4 linked regions of the Saccharomyces cerevisiae S288C genome follow. The protein of the gene in region 1 interacts with the protein of each later gene in a biochemical or structural test. Each region holds a gene or a part of one and is shown on either strand. Other genes may lie near its edges.

Region 1 (4,668 bases):
AGATTTCTCAAGTTCAAACTTTGCTAACTGATAAAAATAAATTCAATGACAGGGTCATTGACGTGTCTGATCCACTTGACCTTAGATTTTGTTCTGGTTTAAAGCTTTACTTAAGAAAGTCTCTCTGGAAACTGGCCGTGAAAGATGGCAATATTATGCTGATAGCTATTAAAGCTATAGCATTTAACGGAACTAAGGAATACTACAAGGGATATGAATATCTGTAGGATTAGCTTGATAAAATTACTCTTCTGCCAAGCTTTTAAGTATATGTATGCTCTCCGTTGTATTTTTTATATGCCATTATAGTACTTGAAGTATAACGGAAACCCATTGTAACTCACATTCCTGTAGTAGCTTCTTTTCTTACTTTTTGTAGGCTCTTGTCTCTTTTCTCTTGTTATTTATCAGTTAATATGTAAGAAAAAAATCGACTTCGGGAATTAGGATACAGACACCTCTTAAAACCAGAGATAAAGTAACGTAGAGAAAATAGTAGGATAATGTGTGCAAAAAGAAGAAACTTTGGTGTCTTAAAATAGATAAAAATAACCCTACTGCCAATTTGAAAGGGCCCGAAAAATGTTTGATAAGTTACCTTATGAGATTTTTAAACAAATTGCCTGGAGAATTCCGCAGGAAGATAAAATTTCGTTAACATATGTATGCAAAAGATCCTATGAATCAATTATACCTTTCATCTACCAGAATTTATTTCTTAATGAAACCTATCACATCAATGGTGACTATGATAACTCATTTGGAACCTGTTATTGGTCTGTCCTAAACTTTCACTACATAGATGAAGATGATTCCAATACTAAAAACGACATGTCGAATAGAAGACTAGCTAAAGTGAAATTTAGTTATTTCGAAAGAACATTAGCAGAGTCACCGAAAAGATTATGTCCCTTAATTAATCGAATACGTTGTACATGGCATTTAAATGAAGATGTGATGACAAATGTACTTAAATTGCTATCCGAGTATGGATCCAATTTGAAATTTGTCGATCAATTTGTTCGCTCATCAGTTAACAAGGGGCTAGAACCTTTATCAAAGCAATTAAAAACTCTAACATTAACGCCACCAACGTTAATGCCCACCCATAACAGTGTAAGCGGTTCTTATTTGAATAAAATTGATCGGTTGCTCTTGAAGTGCGATCTATCTCGATTAGAAAAACTTTCCATTCATATAAACGCATTGAAGTACTTCAAAAATACCGGGTCTCCTATGAAGATCAAAGCATTGGTATTAAATTTGCGACCCGACACACTTAACCTTGCGGAGTACGACGCTTCCGATGACTTCTTAAAAGAGCTAGAATACATCGACATATTTGATGCTTCCACCTTAAGGCAGCTAGAGATTTTGTCTTGGTACAGTCGCGACGATTTTCCCTCTGGCGAAGAAGGTGGTTTTGACAGGTTATATGTCAAATGGGGGCTAGAAGGATTTTGGAAATTTCCGAACATTGAGAAACTATCATTAGCGTCATTGGTTTACAGCGAATTTTTTCTAATGAATTGTTTGGCTGTGTTTCACAATTTAAAGATACTGAAACTTGATTACATGGGTAAATTTGACTTCGATGTGTCGTTGATTAACTTCTTATCTAAACAAGTGTGTGGCAAAAAATTACAGCGTTTTGACATACACTGCCAACTAAATCACAGGCTTTTTTTTCCCATGACAGATAACCCACTAACTCGCTTGAATTTCGATGGTTTCTGCCCTTGTTCAACTTGCAAAAATACAATTCACGAGGTCATTCTAAAAAAAATCTTTCCTGAAACCCGGTCAAAACTTTTAAAGAACCCAAATAAGTTCCAAGCCCATAATTTCTTTTACCAAATGTTTTTCGAGAACAAGATCATGCCCTATACAAACATTATTGACAACGAATCACCTGCGATGGGATGGGATTCTGTACCTATTGAAACGTTTGTACGAAAGTTCAATGAAAATCTGCAAAGCACCATAGAAAATACTGAGAATATTACAGTGAATAAAATTACTAGAGAAGATGCCATTAGTTTGTACCACTTATACCTTCATTATCTAAAAGACGTATTTAAAGTTTTTGAGCAAAGTTTGCCGAACTTAGAATATCTAACCATCAACGGTATACCTACAAAAATAATACAAGTGGACGAGTTACAACGATGCGCGGTTCCCCTCTTCTATAATAATGGCTATAAAAGCAACTCTGTTTATGAATTGGTGGACGCAGAAGCTCTATTTAGTTGATACTGTGAGACATGGCGGTTATAACACGTACATAATGATATATACTCTAAATACTGCAAATTGTCAACAAGAGGAAATCAAAACAAATGGATTGTATAGTCTAGTTAGAGCTTTCTCAGTGTTCTCACTGGATTGCAGTGATGTGACATAGTTCAATAAAACAAATTATGAGCAATAAAAGCAACCGCAGGAGTTTACGTGACATAGGGAATACGATTGGTCGAAATAATATACCAAGTGACAAGGACAATGTCTTTGTGAGATTGAGTATGTCCCCTTTGAGGACGACAAGCCAAAAAGAGTTTTTGAAACCACCTATGAGGATATCACCTAACAAGACAGATGGAATGAAGCATAGTATACAAGTAACACCAAGAAGGATTATGTCGCCGGAATGTCTGAAGGGCTATGTCTCTAAGGAAACTCAAAGCCTGGATAGGCCTCAGTTCAAAAATTCGAATAAAAATGTGAAGATCCAAAACTCAGATCATATAACTAATATAATATTCCCTACATCACCAACCAAACTGACATTCAGTAATGAAAATAAAATCGGGGGTGATGGTTCGTTAACGAGAATACGGGCCCGGTTTAAGAATGGACTCATGTCACCTGAAAGGATACAGCAGCAACAGCAGCAACATATTCTCCCATCGGATGCCAAAAGCAACACTGACCTCTGTTCTAATACTGAGCTCAAGGACGCCCCATTTGAGAATGACCTTCCTCGAGCTAAATTGAAAGGGAAGAATTTATTAGTTGAACTCAAGAAAGAAGAGGAAGACGTGGGAAATGGCATAGAATCCCTTACTAAATCGAACACTAAACTGAATTCCATGCTGGCGAACGAAGGTAAGATACACAAAGCTAGTTTCCAGAAAAGTGTAAAATTTAAACTACCTGATAATATAGTGACTGAAGAAACCGTGGAACTTAAAGAAATAAAGGACTTGCTACTACAAATGTTGAGAAGACAGCGAGAGATTGAATCAAGATTATCCAATATCGAACTTCAACTCACGGAAATACCGAAACATAAGTAATCATATCCCTTCTCACATTTTTTACACAGGAAGTAAGCAAGTTATGTTATATTTCCGACACTATAATTAATTCTTAGCAGTTAAAGGTGCTTTGTCTATATTACATTTACATACAGCTTGAGTGATCCTGACCGGATATAGGGTCCTATTTTCTTACGTGAACGGCTTTTCTTCTTGTTCCCGATGGCCTTCATGTGAAAAAGCACTCCTCGGGAGGCGGAAAAATATCAAAAGTACGGGGCGAAGTTTATAATGAAGATTTATCGATATAAATTTTGGTTATTTCAGGAGAACAAGAAAGCTCTTTACACTAAAATTATCAGAGAAGAAGCTGATATATTAGCCCTAAGGAGTACACCAAAACACAATGAATATTGTCAAATTACAAGTATGTATGCCTTTCTCGAATTCCCACACTGCTGAGCACAGTGAAAAAGTTTTTTCTACCTTTTAGGTTGTAATAAACGTTTCATATACTAACAAACTCTTCTGCGATTAGAGAAAATTTCCAATTTTGACTCAAGAGGATCTTTTTTCCACAATTGAAAAGTTCAGAGCCATTGACTTAGATGATAAAGGATGGGTTGAAAAACAGCAAGCTCTAGAAGCGGTGTCCAAAGATGGTGATGCTACTTATGACGAAGCAAGAGAAACCCTGAAGCATGTGGGTGTGGATGCGTCAGGCCGTGTTGAACTGGACGATTACGTCGGGTTGGTTGCAAAATTAAGAGAATCTAAAACAGGAGCTGCTCCACAGACCACTTTCAACGTAGCACCTAACTCAACCCCTATTGTTTCCACTGCTGCCACAGGACTACAGCACAAGGGTAAGGGTACTCAAGCCAAGATTATTGTTGCTGGCTCCCAAACAGGTACTACACATACCATCAATGAAGAAGAAAGACGTGAATTTACTAAACATATCAATAGCGTCTTGGCGGGAGACCAAGATATAGGTGATTTGCTTCCATTTCCTACTGATACTTTCCAATTATTTGATGAATGTAGGGATGGGTTGGTGCTATCTAAGTTGATCAACGACTCTGTTCCTGATACTATCGATACAAGAGTTTTGAATTGGCCTAAGAAGGGTAAGGAATTGAATAATTTTCAGGCTAGTGAAAATGCTAATATTGTTATTAATTCTGCAAAAGCCATTGGTTGTGTCGTTGTTAATGTTCATTCCGAGGACATTATTGAAGGTAGAGAGCATTTGATCCTGGGTTTGATTTGGCAAATTATTAGGAGAGGTTTGTTAAGTAAAATTGATATTAAGCTGCATCCTGAGTTATACCGTCTATTGGAGGATGATGAAACGTTGGAGCAATTTTTGAGGTTGCCTCCGGAGCAAATTCTACTACGTTGGTTTAAC
Region 2 (5,644 bases), on another chromosome or scaffold:
TATATTTTTATACCACGGCACCATTTTACACCAAGCCGGTTGTCAATTCGTTCATCATCAGGTCATTATACCTATAACACTGACTACCAGGTTCTTGAATGGTTTCACGAGCCTGGCCATCAGTTCATTGAAATTTGCGCAAAATCGAAGTCAAGGCCCAACACCCCTGGAAGTGACACTTCGAATGACTTACCAGCGGAATGCGTTATCAGCTAAACAAAAATTGAACCAAAAGCTATAGTAGTCATATATATATATATACACCCTTTTTATTGTTACAAAAAGATTTCACCATCAGAAATCTAAAGAAGCCGGTTCATCATCATCTTCACGTTCTCTTTTCACTGAACCCAGTTCATTTTTCAAAAGAGAACTCACATATGCTTGGAACTGATTGATAAAAGGTTGTAAAGCTGTTAATGAAACATCATTATTTTTCTCCATTTCTGTTTGAAGATCAATTAGCTTAGGTGCTTTTTCAGGTGCAAAGGATTCATCAATAGGCACACAGACATTCCCCGTAGCAGGATGAATACAAAAAGGGGCCTTTAACAAATGAATTGTTTGCTTTGTAACTTCCACATCCAGCTTCGGATAAAGAGTCATCAATACGAGATCTTCCTTACATTCACGTAACTTAATTATGTGAGAGTCTTGCTTGGGGCCTTTGAAGAGCGATGTAGCTATCTGATCTATATCATTCCACTTCTCTTTGCTTGACCTCCTTGGATTGTCCAGCCAATACTTCTTTAATGAATCAATCAATTGTTTATCATATAATGCAGGCAATAAAGTTTGGATAGCATGTTGGTCATCTTCCCAAGGATTTTGCTCTTCGAGCATAATGCTGACAAAGAAAGGTTTCAATTGCTCCAAAGAACGAGCAAGATGAGGGTGATAAGGCCTCTTCAAAGCCAATCGCTTGTCAGTATTTCTGTCTCTAATCACGTTGACATAATCTAAAACGTTTCTTCGTTGTACATCCGTCAAAGCCCGTGCCCGTTTGTCGCTTACCCAACAATGAGCACCACGTCTACCTGAAAATACCCAGATGAAGTCCTTATAACCAAAATCCTCTCTTAGGGCCGTGTTCGTAATTTTCATTGCCAAAGATATAAATTTCCAGCACTTAGAGCAAACTTGGGCTCCGGAGCAACACGTTCTGAAGGCATCGTAATCATCCATATCAATATCAAACACCAACTCCTTCTCTAAAGCTTTCAATTCGCTTTTTAATAGAGTATCACGTTCTCTTGGCGGTTTGTTATATATGGCACCGATTTCAAATCTGTCTGGGTTGGCTTTTTCTATTTGTGCTTTGAAATCTTGCACAGAGTTAAAAGAATTATACCTTTTGTAAGCACCTGACCTGAACGCCATAGCGAATTCTCTGTTAATCATATCCCTAGAAGGTTTGGGCGAATGATTCAGCCAGTTGAAAATGTGTTTGAATGGATAGAGCGACTTATAGTAGTACTCCATGTCTGAGGAGCTTGGCCCATTAGTCTTTACTGAATTGGTCATGATGTTTATAAAACAGTTTTTTGAGTTGCTAAAACTAATTTTTGCTAGTATTATGGCACGCTTTTCTCTTCAGCTTCAAAGTATTTTTGATTAATTTTTTATCTTTTTGGCGTTATGAAACTTTTCAACTGAAAGAAAACAATAGGTAAAAGTGGCAAAGGGCACTGACCGAGCAACTGTTTCGAAACTCACGCATCATTCACACGTAGGATATAGTAATGGTTGAACCAGCAAGGAAAAAGCAGAGGATTGATCGCGATACTCATCACACTGTGGCTGAACCAGTAACGGAAGCTAAAAATACGCTGTACGTGAGCCAGCTTAATGAAAAAATTAATATGCAACGACTGCGAGTAAACCTTTTTTTGCTCTTTGCTACGTTTGGAGAGGTACTGAAGGTTAGCATGAATTTCAAGAAACAGCGGGGCCAAGCCTTTATCACCATGAGAACCATCGACCAGGCCAGTCTGGCCCAGATTTCATTAAACGGCGAGCGATTCTTTGGTAAGCCTTTGAAAGTTGAGTTCAGCAAGAGTGAAACTAAAACACTATGACTGGCTTAACGCTCTATTCATAGCAGCACGTATATACCGAGAAGAGCTGCCATAGGGGCACATCAAAGTCAAGAGCGCAGAACCAAACCAAAATGTTTATATCCAAACAACCCGGCGTTATAGATGGTCGTCAACGGACAAATAATATCAAGGCATGTATCAATATGGAGTAGATATAGAATCTACAAAAATCTGTAGCAGAAAGAGTCTCCCGAAAAGACATACTGCAGAACGGCCGCTTATTCCTCACTTCAATTGCTTAAATAATACAAAGGGCAAACCACAGAGTACCCCATTGCCAAAAGACGTTTATTACATTTTGGAAGTGATAATTTAGTATATAAGACAGCTTACTATATGATGAATTACAGTGTAGTTCAGCGTTTATATGTGGCTTCGTTTAAAATGATATATATTTCTAGTAAAAGCAAAAATTCACAAATGATAAACAAATCAAAATAAACATCAAAAGAACCGCCAATTGATAAAAGCACAAAGTACCAGGCAGAGTTGTGAAACCGGGCCTCTTCTATTGTACCACACACAAATTTTTCTTTATTTAGGTAGAGGATGAGTCTGGAACCCACACAAACGGTCTCCGGTACGCCGCCGATGCTGCATCAAAGAACACACAAACAAGTATACCCATTGCGGATGGAAACTATCCCAATATTGGAATCCGACTCCAAGGCTACTCTACAAAGCAACGAGCCCACCCAGAAAGATGAGGAGGAGACCGAATATTTTGAGAATAAACAATCCGTGTCGAATTTGAGCCCCGATTTGAAATTCAAACGACACAAGAATAAACATATCCAGGGGTTCCCTACTCTGGGCGAAAGGCTGGATAACCTGCAAGATATAAAAAAGGCCAAGAGAGTGGAGAATTTCAATTCTTCTGCGCCAATTGCTGACGACAATCATAGTGGAGATGCGACTGCAAATGCGACTGCAAATGCGACTGCAAATGCGACTGCGAATGTTAATGCAAGTGCAATGCCCGCTCCATATATGCCTTATTACTATTACTACCATCCGATGAATGCACCAACTCCTGCAATGATACCATATCCTGGATCACCAATGCATTCGATTATGCCCAACTCCTCATTACAGCCCTTTTATTCGCAACCCACTGCTGCAGGCGGTCCCGATATGACTACTCCCCAAAATATATCTTCATCACAACAATTGCTGCCAGCTCCGCAATTGTTTCCGTACGGATCATTCCATCAACAACAACTTCAGCAACCACACTACATTCAACGAACAAGGGAAAGGAAAAAATCAATCGGAAGTCAGAGAGGTAGAAGATTGTCTATGTTAGCATCTCAAGCTAATGGGGGAAGCACTATTATATCTCCGCACAAGGATATTCCTGAAGAGGATTTTTACACCGTGGTTGGAAATGCGTCTTTTGGTAAAAATTTACAAATACGACAGCTTTTCAACTGGTGTTTAATGAGATCTCTGCATAAATTGGAGTTGAAGGCTAAAAACCAAGAGGAAGAAGGGGAACTTGAACATCTGACCAAAAAATCCAAGCTCGAATCAACAAAGGCAGAAACTGATTATGTGGATCCCAAACGTCTGGCTATGGTGATAATAAAAGAGTTTGTCGATGATCTTAAAAAAGATCATATTGCGATAGATTGGGAAGATGAGGAAAAATATGAGGATGAAGATGAGGAGAAGATTCTGGATAATACTGAAAACTACGATGACACGGAACTGCGACAACTGTTTCAGGAAAACGACGACGACGACGACGACGACGATGAGGTGGACTACTCGGAAATACAGAGGTCTAGACGTAAATTTAGTGAAAGGAGAAAAGCCCTACCGAAAGAACCAAAAAAACTATTACCTAATAGCAAAAACGTGGAAAACACAAAGAATCTTAGCATTTTAACGAGCAAGGTGAACGCGATCAAAAATGAAGTGAAAGAATGGGCAGTCACTTTAGACACTTCGAGACCAGATCTTGAATGGCAAGAATTGACTTCATTCTCATCACAACCACTGGAACCGTTGTCGGATACAGAAGAGCCAGACCTTGCGATTGCAGATGTTGAGACAAAGTTAGAAACAAAAGTCGATGAGCTAAGGTACCAGTCGCATATATTAAACTCGCACTCACTAGCCTTAAACGAAATAACAAATTCAAAAGTGAATAAATTGAACATAGAAACAATGAGAAAGATCTCAAGCGAAACGGACGATGACCACTCACAAGTGATTAATCCTCAACAGCTGTTGAAGGGATTAAGTTTATCTTTCAGTAAAAAACTGGATTTATGAAATAAAAGAAAAAATCAAAAAAAAATCGGATACTTCTGCATATGTAACATTACACAGTCATACATTTATATATACATATATATACATATTAATGTATTTGAAAAAGCAAAAGAACCATTCTATCCTTAGTTAAAGGGCGAATCAGTAGCAGCGCTACCACTATTGTTATTGTTTTCGTTTGCTGTCATGGTATCGTGGTGGTAAATAATACTTTCTTGAAGTGATAATGTTGATGACGATGCTGCTGAAGGGCTACCCATATCTAAAGATTTGAACAGCTGGAGTGGGCGTTCCAATAACCCATTTGAATGTTCATTGTATACCTGTAATCTTGTCATATGACTTTTCCAGACGGAGCTATTATCTGCTAATAAAATTATCCTGTCACGGGCAACATGTTCAATAAGCGTACACCATACGTGAGACAATTGTTCAATGCATTTATCGTAGTAGTAATTATTACTAGCTAATTCAAATCTGGGCAATTTGATAACTAATTCCGTGCAAATGTCTAAGAATTTTAATGATGCGTGCAAATTTTCCAAACGTGGTGGAATGTTATCCAGTATGAAATCCACCAAACAGTTTAAGAACTCCAGAATTTGAGGTTTCATTCTCACGAAAGCATAGTCATCTAATTTATTACTCTCATAAGACCTATTGTAAGGTATGCTCTGGTAAACGGCTTCTGATTTTTGTTTCAACATGTCCAGACACTTTTGTATACTGAAGTCTAATCCGATGACTCTCGTATGTACGCTTTGTTGTATTTCTGGATGTTTTGTCATCAAATCCACCAACAACTGCTGTAATTGGTTCTTGTTCATTAGTTCCATGCCTCGTTGCAAGGGCAGAGGCTGCCCTCTGATGAGCGATCCTGGCTGAGGCCTCCTCTTGGAGACGCCCCCATATTTCATCACATTCTTGTTACGAGGTAGTTCTTCCTCTTCTTGCTCCTCGTTGGCATACCGCCTTTTTTGTTTCACTCCAGCAGTTGGAATCATTACATTGCCTGTGCCTTGTGAACTGACTGTACTCTGTGTTATTTTACTGCTGGGTTTAAAACCCCATTCAAACCCCATCATAATGCTATACTGTCCTGTGTTTGTTGCTTTTGCCAGGTACCTTCGAACACACTAAGTGAGAATACTTGGTTAAGTATATTTTTAAGTAAGAAATTCCCACTCGCCGCATTATCACCCGCCCGCCGTTTCTTTTTCTGGCAAAATTTTCACTATGAATAACTAAAGAGATACATTCGATGG
Region 3 (3,798 bases), on another chromosome or scaffold:
CTATATAAGCTCATTTCCATGTTTTATACACAAATATCGGGCATCGCAGCTCCATGGCGAAAAATTTCATCGAAGCCATATTCGGATACCCGGGACACTTCTGACCAATGAGAACCCAGTTTGTTAGTAAGTGCATTTATTAAATAAGTGCAGATGTAATTACGTACTCTACTCTAACATTCTATAAGGAAAAGCTACTTACGTACTAAAATAGTCTCTTCGGTTGTAGATGAAGTTCTGGTAAAGGAATTGTCTACTACAAACTGAATCGCATGATCTACTTCGGCCAAATCCACATCGTCTTGCTTCTCGAAGTATGCAGTATGGAAAGCCTTGGCATCATCTGAAATATATGCAGTTTGCTTGAAATTAGTATACTGCTGTCCAACCCATTCATATTTGGTGGGGTAAGAATTCTTTTTCGTTTTCAGTAGAATCCAAAGTATCAATAAATCATAAGTAGATTCAAAGATGACCTCTTCACCATCTTCGTTGCTGAACAGCGAAGGTAATTCAGTTTCTGCAAAAGCAGGGTCATTCTTAAGAATTTTGCTCATGGTTAGCAATTGGTGCTTGTTCTCTGACAGCATTGTTTTTTCTAGTTTTTTCAACCTCGTTAAAGCCTCTTTTAAAATTTGTTTTTGACCTTTAGTATAAACGTCAGCACAATAGACTCTGTAAGGATCAATTGCATAAGAGTCATCAGTTGCAGGTGGTCCAGTAATGCTGTTGAGTTTGCTCTGCAATGCATTTCGTAGCATTTGTATACCCTGCAAACGGGCTCTCAAATCGTGTAGATCCTCCTCTTCGGCCTTAGAAAGGTAGGTAAAAAGATCCAGTAATGGTTCTAAACATTGTTCATTTTGTATGTTAATGAAGTAAGTCACCCCATTGATGTAGTCTGTAGCACTACGAGTAGCCTTCTTTTCTTGCTGGACACAGTCTTTGTTTTCAAAAGCATAAGTGGTGTAATCCGAAAGTAAGGGCAGCTTCAAACTAGGTTCTGTTTCAAGAATTGTAGATACCACATCTAATGGCAATTTAACTTTCAAAGCCACTGAGTCAAATATGTTGTCTTCTAAAACAAATCCATATCCAGAGAGTAACTCCTCATTTCCCTTACCGCCATAATTATTTGATAGTTCTCGTGATTGGGAGGCGGTACCGATTTTTTCATAACAGAACCACCCATTTTCAGGATACCATTTGACTTTGGAACGGTAGTCATGATTTAGAAGATCGACGATGGGAAGCAGTACAATAGAGTTGTCAGGACAGTTTCTGTTTAGCACATATTCAGGGAATGCTCTTGAAATGAATATAAGGTGCGACCATAAAAATGCAGGAAAAGAATACCAGATAGTTGGTCTTTGAAGTTCTGTTATCTTCAAAATCTTCTCATACAAAGCCTCATATGTCAACTCATCGAGATTATGGAAGGTCTGCACATCATCTGCCACTCTTTCCAAGTCAAACATATCTGAAGAACTGACCAGTTCAAACCACTCTTTAAATATACCTTCGAACTTTTCATGAATCGAATTCCCTATGTTTGTAGATGATAAACGCTTCAACTCGCTTGGGTTCCAGACCAAGGGCGAATTTAGGCGGGAAGGCAATGCATCCAAGTAAGGTTTAAATTTATCATTCACACGAACATTGTCCACGATAGTATCATTATCCCTATCAAATTTTATTTTTGCGAAGAACAACTTCAGCCATCCGTTGATATTCTTAGTGGATTCACTTAGCCCAAAAAACTTCATGGGCAGATTCCTTGAAATGACAATCTCGGGAGGAATCTTGATGCTGGGATTGTCTATATCTTTTTCACATACGCAAATAATGCCCTTAAGATCGGTATATAAAAACTTGAGTTCCTCTGGCACTATTACACCAAATGACGCACCCCACTGAAGTAGTGCTTTTAACGCATCTGATGACATGATAGTCTTCTCTTGTATCTATAACCTTTGTGCTCCATTTTCCGATACAGCATTGCTTATTGAACAGTAAGTTTAACTTCACGCGTTTTTCCTGTAAAGCGCTTAATTTGTTTACCATTCTATAAAAACCTTGAGCTAAGGCCAACTGATGCAATTGCTCAAGTGAATGCATAAACAAAGCAAGATCATTCTTAGCGCAAAAAAAACTGGGATTTTGAAATACAACAAAAGAAAGAAGTAAAAAGGGAATGCAACGCAATAGTTTAGTAAATATCAAACTAAACGCTAATTCGCCATCGAAAAAGACCACAACAAGACCAAATACGTCCAGGATCAATAAACCATGGAGAATATCCCATTCGCCGCAGCAAAGAAACCCGAATTCAAAAATACCTTCACCTGTAAGAGAAAAATTGAACAGATTACCTGTAAACAATAAGAAGTTTTTGGATATGGAAAGCTCCAAAATTCCATCACCTATAAGGAAAGCGACTTCTTCCAAAATGATACACGAAAATAAGAAGCTACCTAAATTTAAATCCCTATCACTCGATGACTTTGAACTGGGGAAGAAATTAGGAAAGGGTAAATTCGGTAAAGTTTATTGCGTTCGGCACAGGAGTACAGGATATATTTGCGCACTGAAAGTAATGGAGAAGGAAGAAATAATAAAGTATAATTTACAGAAACAATTCAGAAGGGAGGTAGAAATACAAACATCGCTAAATCATCCGAATCTAACTAAATCATACGGCTATTTTCATGATGAAAAAAGAGTGTACCTGCTAATGGAATACTTAGTCAATGGGGAAATGTATAAACTATTGAGGTTACACGGACCCTTCAACGATATTTTAGCATCAGATTATATTTATCAAATTGCCAATGCCCTAGATTATATGCATAAAAAGAATATTATTCATAGAGATATTAAACCTGAAAATATACTAATAGGGTTCAATAATGTCATTAAGTTAACGGACTTCGGATGGAGTATAATAAATCCGCCAGAAAATAGAAGGAAAACTGTCTGTGGGACAATTGACTACCTTTCTCCAGAAATGGTGGAGTCAAGGGAATATGATCACACTATAGATGCATGGGCTCTTGGCGTCCTGGCGTTTGAACTACTGACCGGTGCCCCTCCGTTCGAAGAAGAAATGAAAGATACTACATATAAAAGGATAGCAGCACTGGATATCAAAATGCCCAGTAACATTTCTCAGGATGCGCAAGATTTAATACTTAAACTACTAAAATACGACCCCAAAGATAGAATGCGCCTTGGAGACGTAAAAATGCATCCTTGGATACTAAGAAACAAGCCCTTTTGGGAAAATAAGCGGTTATAGAATTAAAGTATGACAGAATCGTTTGAAGGGCACTATTAATCACTCCCGCACATATCACATAATACTAAGTATCCATTTCTAATATTTCATTACTCTTTTCGGCATCGTATATTGCGATATTTGATTAAATTTTCTTGTTCATTTTTTCCTCTTTTCTTTCGCCTTTGTCGAAAGAAAAGAGGAAAACAAGCTGAAAATTGCTATGCATTAAAGTAGCAGATTTACTTTGTTGAGTTGGTTCTGATCAATAATAAGAGTAATGAAAGAAAGCAAAAAAATGGCTAAAGATAATTTAACTAATTTGCTCTCTCAATTGAACATTCAATTGTCTCAAGACGAGCATTCGCAGGTCGAACAGACTTGCGTGAAACTATTGGATTCTGGATGTGAGAATCCAGCGGATGTATTTAGACGTTGCTTAGTAGCTGTTATCCAACAGGACAAGTATCAAAAGGCTTTACATTATTTAAAAAAATTCAAACATATAGATGACAAGTACG
Region 4 (4,770 bases), on another chromosome or scaffold:
TAGAGATAATTGTAGGGGCCTTTTGTAATGTTTCGGATGTTCTGTTTTAAGTCCGCGGGAGGCCTTTTTATTTTTCGCTTTTTTAGAGATTTCACGAATAAAAGCGTTGCAGAAATGCAACTTCAAAAGAGACTGAAGGAAACACAGATAGAAGAACAGTCTTCAAAGCAATCAATTCGTGTCGGTGCAGCTTAAGAAATGACTTTTATGCAACAGCTTCAAGAGGCTGGGGAAAGATTTAGGTGTATCAATGGTCTTTTATGGGTTGTTTTTGGGCTTGGTGTCTTAAAATGTACAACGTTATCACTTAGATTTTTAGCTCTTATTTTTGATCTTTTTTTACTACCAGCAGTCAATTTCGACAAGTATGGTGCTAAAACTGGTAAATACTGTGCTATCACTGGTGCAAGTGACGGTATTGGTAAAGAATTTGCTAGACAAATGGCGAAACGTGGCTTCAACTTGGTATTGATCTCGAGAACGCAATCTAAATTGGAGGCTTTACAAAAAGAACTAGAAGATCAACATCATGTCGTTGTAAAGATTCTAGCCATTGACATTGCGGAGGATAAAGAATCCAACTATGAATCCATTAAGGAATTGTGTGCGCAGTTACCAATCACCGTTTTGGTCAATAATGTTGGTCAATCACACTCCATTCCTGTTCCATTTTTGGAAACAGAAGAGAAGGAGCTTAGAAATATTATCACTATCAATAACACTGCTACATTATTAATTACACAAATCATTGCACCAAAGATTGTGGAAACTGTGAAAGCTGAAAACAAGAAGTCGGGTACTCGTGGTTTGATCTTAACCATGGGCTCATTTGGTGGTCTGATTCCCACCCCACTTTTGGCTACATACAGTGGTTCGAAATCATTCTTACAAGGTTGGTCTAACTCTTTGGCTGGGGAATTATCTAAAGATGCTATCGATGTTGAATTAATCATTTCATATTTGGTCACTAGCTCGATGTCTAAAATCAGAAGATCATCTTTAATGATCCCAAATCCACAACAGTTTGTAAAATCCACTTTAAGAAGCGTTGGCAGACGCTGCGGCTCTCAAGAAAGATACGCTACTATGACCCCTTACTGGGCGCACGCAGTGTATCAATTTGTAATTACAGAGACCTTTGGCGTTTACTCTAAGATTGTTAACTCCATTAATTATTCCTTCCATAAATCTATCAGAATTAGAGCCTTAAAAAAAGCCGCAAGACAGGTTAAAAAGGAATAGAATTATCGTTCTCGAGATAGTTTTTATACAATACATATATATATATATATATATATATTTACAAGAAAAGCATGGCTTATGTATTATACTTGCTTATGTACCAATATATACATATATGGCCTTATTAGGGCAACAAACGCCAAAAATAAAAACGAACCTAAATGAGAAAAAAAGAGAAAAATTTGGAAAACAACAAGAACTCAAAAAAAAAAATTGGTGGAAGGACCAAGTCCTCTTGAAAGAAAATTTAATACTGCTTTTCCAGAATATCATATTGGAAAAAATATTCAAGCCAGCACATCAGCTACAGTGGAAAATAGCCCAGATCAAATAGAACTATCCTTCGAACATGAGCGGTGAATTAGCAAATTACAAAAGACTTGAGAAAGTCGGTGAAGGTACATACGGTGTTGTTTATAAAGCGTTAGACTTAAGACCTGGCCAAGGTCAAAGAGTAGTCGCATTGAAGAAAATAAGACTAGAGAGTGAAGACGAGGGTGTTCCCAGTACAGCCATCAGAGAAATCTCATTATTGAAGGAATTAAAAGACGATAATATTGTCAGATTATACGATATTGTTCACTCTGATGCACACAAGCTATATCTTGTTTTTGAGTTCCTCGATTTGGACCTGAAAAGATATATGGAGGGTATTCCAAAGGACCAACCGTTAGGAGCTGATATTGTTAAGAAGTTTATGATGCAACTTTGTAAGGGTATTGCATACTGCCACTCACACCGTATTCTGCATCGTGATTTAAAACCGCAGAACTTATTGATTAACAAAGATGGGAATCTAAAACTAGGTGATTTTGGCTTAGCGCGTGCTTTTGGTGTTCCGTTGAGAGCTTACACACATGAAATTGTTACTCTATGGTATAGAGCTCCGGAGGTATTACTGGGTGGAAAACAATATAGTACAGGTGTCGATACATGGTCCATCGGCTGTATATTTGCCGAAATGTGTAACAGGAAACCAATCTTCAGTGGCGATAGTGAGATCGATCAGATTTTCAAGATATTCAGAGTATTGGGAACGCCGAATGAAGCTATATGGCCAGATATTGTCTACTTGCCTGATTTCAAGCCAAGCTTTCCTCAATGGCGCAGAAAAGACCTATCACAAGTGGTACCAAGTCTAGATCCACGCGGTATTGATTTGTTGGACAAACTCCTCGCGTATGACCCTATTAACCGGATTAGCGCCAGAAGAGCAGCCATCCACCCCTACTTCCAAGAATCATAAGCATTATAATCTATTTCGCTATTATATTACAAATGCTACTGCACTGTCATTATAGCCTAGTAAAGTATATAGTGAATACAATATACTCAGTTTCAACATTATGATGGGTAACTCCATCAGAAAATATATTCATCGTCATATACGGAACATTCAGTTATACGCGAAAGTAAAAGTGAGAGCTTTTCAGGGGTTAAAAGCTGGGCGTGTTCCATGACGTATTTACCGAGGTCGTATTATCAAAGAAAATGAAAAAAAAAAAAAAAAAAAAAAAAGCGAAGAGGAAAAAGACAAACGAAAAACAAAACGAAATAACGCATTGTATGCTGGGGCCTCAATTGAACTTCTTTGACTATAAGGAGTTCGCTTGTTTAAAGCCGTTTCGCATCTGACTCGCCCTTGGTTTTTTTCTCTGTTCTTGTTTTTGACCTCCGCAAATTCATTGCTCTTTGAATTTTGAAGAGTTTCATTGTCACCGTTGAATAACCGAGACGGGTATTGTTTTTATTTCCTTCATTATTTACATCGCAACACGATTTTTATTAGCTTCCTCAAGGAGCGCTGACCGTATATAATATAATTTCAACAACCGAACAAGGCAGTGCGAAGCGGTGCACCTTACAACAGTGCTAAAGTAGTTACAGTAAACCAATTAATACGTGATGAAGAAGGAGTTGAAAATTCTTATAATAGCGAACATTGCATTACTTATCTCTATAATACATTACACATTTGATTTGTTGACGTTATGTATAGATGATACTTCCAAAGATGCGCTAACAGATGAACAGCTGAACCCCCCCAATGGCTTCAATTCAACATTCTATGAGTCTCCTCCTCAACTCATACCGAAAATCATTCATCAAACCTACAAAACAAACGATATCCCAGAACAGTGGGTAAAAGGGAGGCAGAAGTGCATTGATTTACATCCGGATTACACTTACATTTTATGGACGGATGAAATGTCTGATACTTTCATTAAACAGGAATACCCGTGGTTTCTTGACACCTTTAGGAGTTATGAATATCCAATTGAGAGGGCGGATGCAATACGGTATTTCATCCTTTCGCATTATGGTGGTATTTACATTGACTTGGATGATGGTTGTGAAAGAAGGCTAGACCCTTTGTTGAAAGTACCAGCATTTCTAAGGAAAACTTCGCCTACAGGAGTGTCAAATGATGTGATGGGCTCTGTTCCAAGGCACCCCTTCTTCTTGAAGGTCATCAAATCGTTGAAACACTATAAGAAAAACTGGTACATTCCATATATGACAATCATGGGCTCTACGGGCCCCTTATTCATTAGTGTGGTTTGGAAGCAATATAAGAGATGGTCTAATACGGCCGAAAATGGTGCGGTAAGAATTTTACAACCTGCAGATTATAAAATGCATAATAATTCTTTTTTCTCAATATCTAAAGGTTCCTCCTGGCATACGGGTGATGCCAATTTTATGAAAACTCTAGAGAATCACATCTTGTCTTGCGTGGTTACCGGATTCATTTTTGGCTTTTTCATATTATACGGTGAATTTACATTTTATACTTGGCTGTGCTCGGGACCATTTAACAACAAACGCTATTACATTCAGTGGTTGAGTGACAAGTTCAAGTTACACAAGTGGAAACTAACATCGTCTTACAAGAATAAGGAAAAGAGGCGGAATCCTACTCGTCACGAATATAATTCGAGGGGTAAGAGATTAAGAAAAGATTCTAATATCCCCTACGACAGCGTTTTCCTTGATATAGAAAAGAATCACGCAAAATTTACCGACTTAACCTGATTGAATTGCCACTGTTCTACCCCTATAATATTGTGAGCATGGATAAATCTCAAAAACAATGGCGTATAGATATATAACAGGTATTAAATCTTAGTATTTAAGAATTACAAGTAACATGCATTCCTATAAAAATTAAAGAGAAAAAAATTCGATTATAAAATAGTACAATGTCCAGAAGCTTGGTTTTTAATAGTATATAATAAAGATAAAGATAGATAGAGAACATAACTCTAAACTTTAAGAGTGAATTTTTTTTTTTTAGTTTAGTTTTTTTTTTTTTTTTTTTTTACAATAATGTATTGTTCTTGGAAAATAACACAATCTGTTCAAAGTGGACAGAAACCCTAAAACAAAAATAATAACGGGGAAGGAAAAAAATAGCAAGTGAAACATAAATGAAAAAAAGGAAAATTTTATTGGTTAATAAGAAACGATCGACTATGGCAAGGCCGCAGAAGAACCGGACTTGCTCAACCATTGGTCAACGACATC

The links.
Region 2: the proteins of FIN1 (region 1) and DSN1 are reported together in a solved structure, tested with the Saccharomyces cerevisiae proteins (one study listed by BioGRID).
Region 3: of the proteins of FIN1 (region 1) and IPL1, one has a biochemical effect on the other in vitro, tested with the Saccharomyces cerevisiae proteins (one study listed by BioGRID).
Region 4: of the proteins of FIN1 (region 1) and CDC28, one has a biochemical effect on the other in vitro, tested with the Saccharomyces cerevisiae proteins (6 studies listed by BioGRID).

What each region holds. Positions count from the first base shown.
Region 1 is NC_001136.10:714,375-719,042, reverse strand, and holds FIN1 (Fin1p), read left to right. Parts: upstream 1-2,420; coding exon 2,421-3,296; downstream 3,297-4,668. Other genes in the region: MRX16 (Mrx16p), read left to right, coding at 1-227; YDR131C (uncharacterized protein), read left to right, coding at 583-2,253; SAC6 (fimbrin), read left to right, coding at 3,664-3,684, 3,796-4,668. UniProt on the Saccharomyces cerevisiae protein: Forms cell-cycle specific filaments between the spindle pole bodies of dividing yeast cells.
Region 2 is NC_001141.2:372,783-378,426, forward strand, and holds DSN1 (MIND complex subunit DSN1), read left to right. Parts: upstream 1-2,648; coding exon 2,649-4,379; downstream 4,380-5,644. Other genes in the region: EGH1 (hydrolase), read left to right, coding at 1-216; DNA primase subunit PRI1, read right to left, coding at 295-1,524; U2 snRNP complex subunit MSL1, read left to right, coding at 1,743-2,078; STS1 (Sts1p), read right to left, coding at 4,505-5,464. UniProt on the Saccharomyces cerevisiae protein: Acts as an essential component of the kinetochore MIND complex, which is required for the spindle checkpoint and kinetochore integrity.
Region 3 is NC_001148.4:155,990-159,787, reverse strand, and holds IPL1 (aurora kinase), read left to right. Parts: upstream 1-2,194; coding exon 2,195-3,298; downstream 3,299-3,798. Other genes in the region: RKM1 (protein-lysine N-methyltransferase), read right to left, coding at 195-1,946; signal recognition particle subunit SRP72, read left to right, coding at 3,576-3,798. UniProt on the Saccharomyces cerevisiae protein: Component of the chromosomal passenger complex (CPC), a complex that acts as a key regulator of chromosome segregation and cytokinesis.
Region 4 is NC_001134.8:558,487-563,256, forward strand, and holds CDC28 (cyclin-dependent serine/threonine-protein kinase CDC28), read left to right. Parts: upstream 1-1,591; coding exon 1,592-2,488; downstream 2,489-4,770. Other genes in the region: IFA38 (ketoreductase), read left to right, coding at 199-1,242; mannosylinositol phosphorylceramide synthase catalytic subunit CSH1, read left to right, coding at 3,148-4,278; TOS1 (Tos1p), read right to left, coding at 4,717-4,770. UniProt on the Saccharomyces cerevisiae protein: Cyclin-dependent kinase that acts as a master regulator of the mitotic and meiotic cell cycles. Required to drive the G1-S transition. More than 200 substrates have been identified. Substrate specificity is in part regulated by the bound cyclin protein.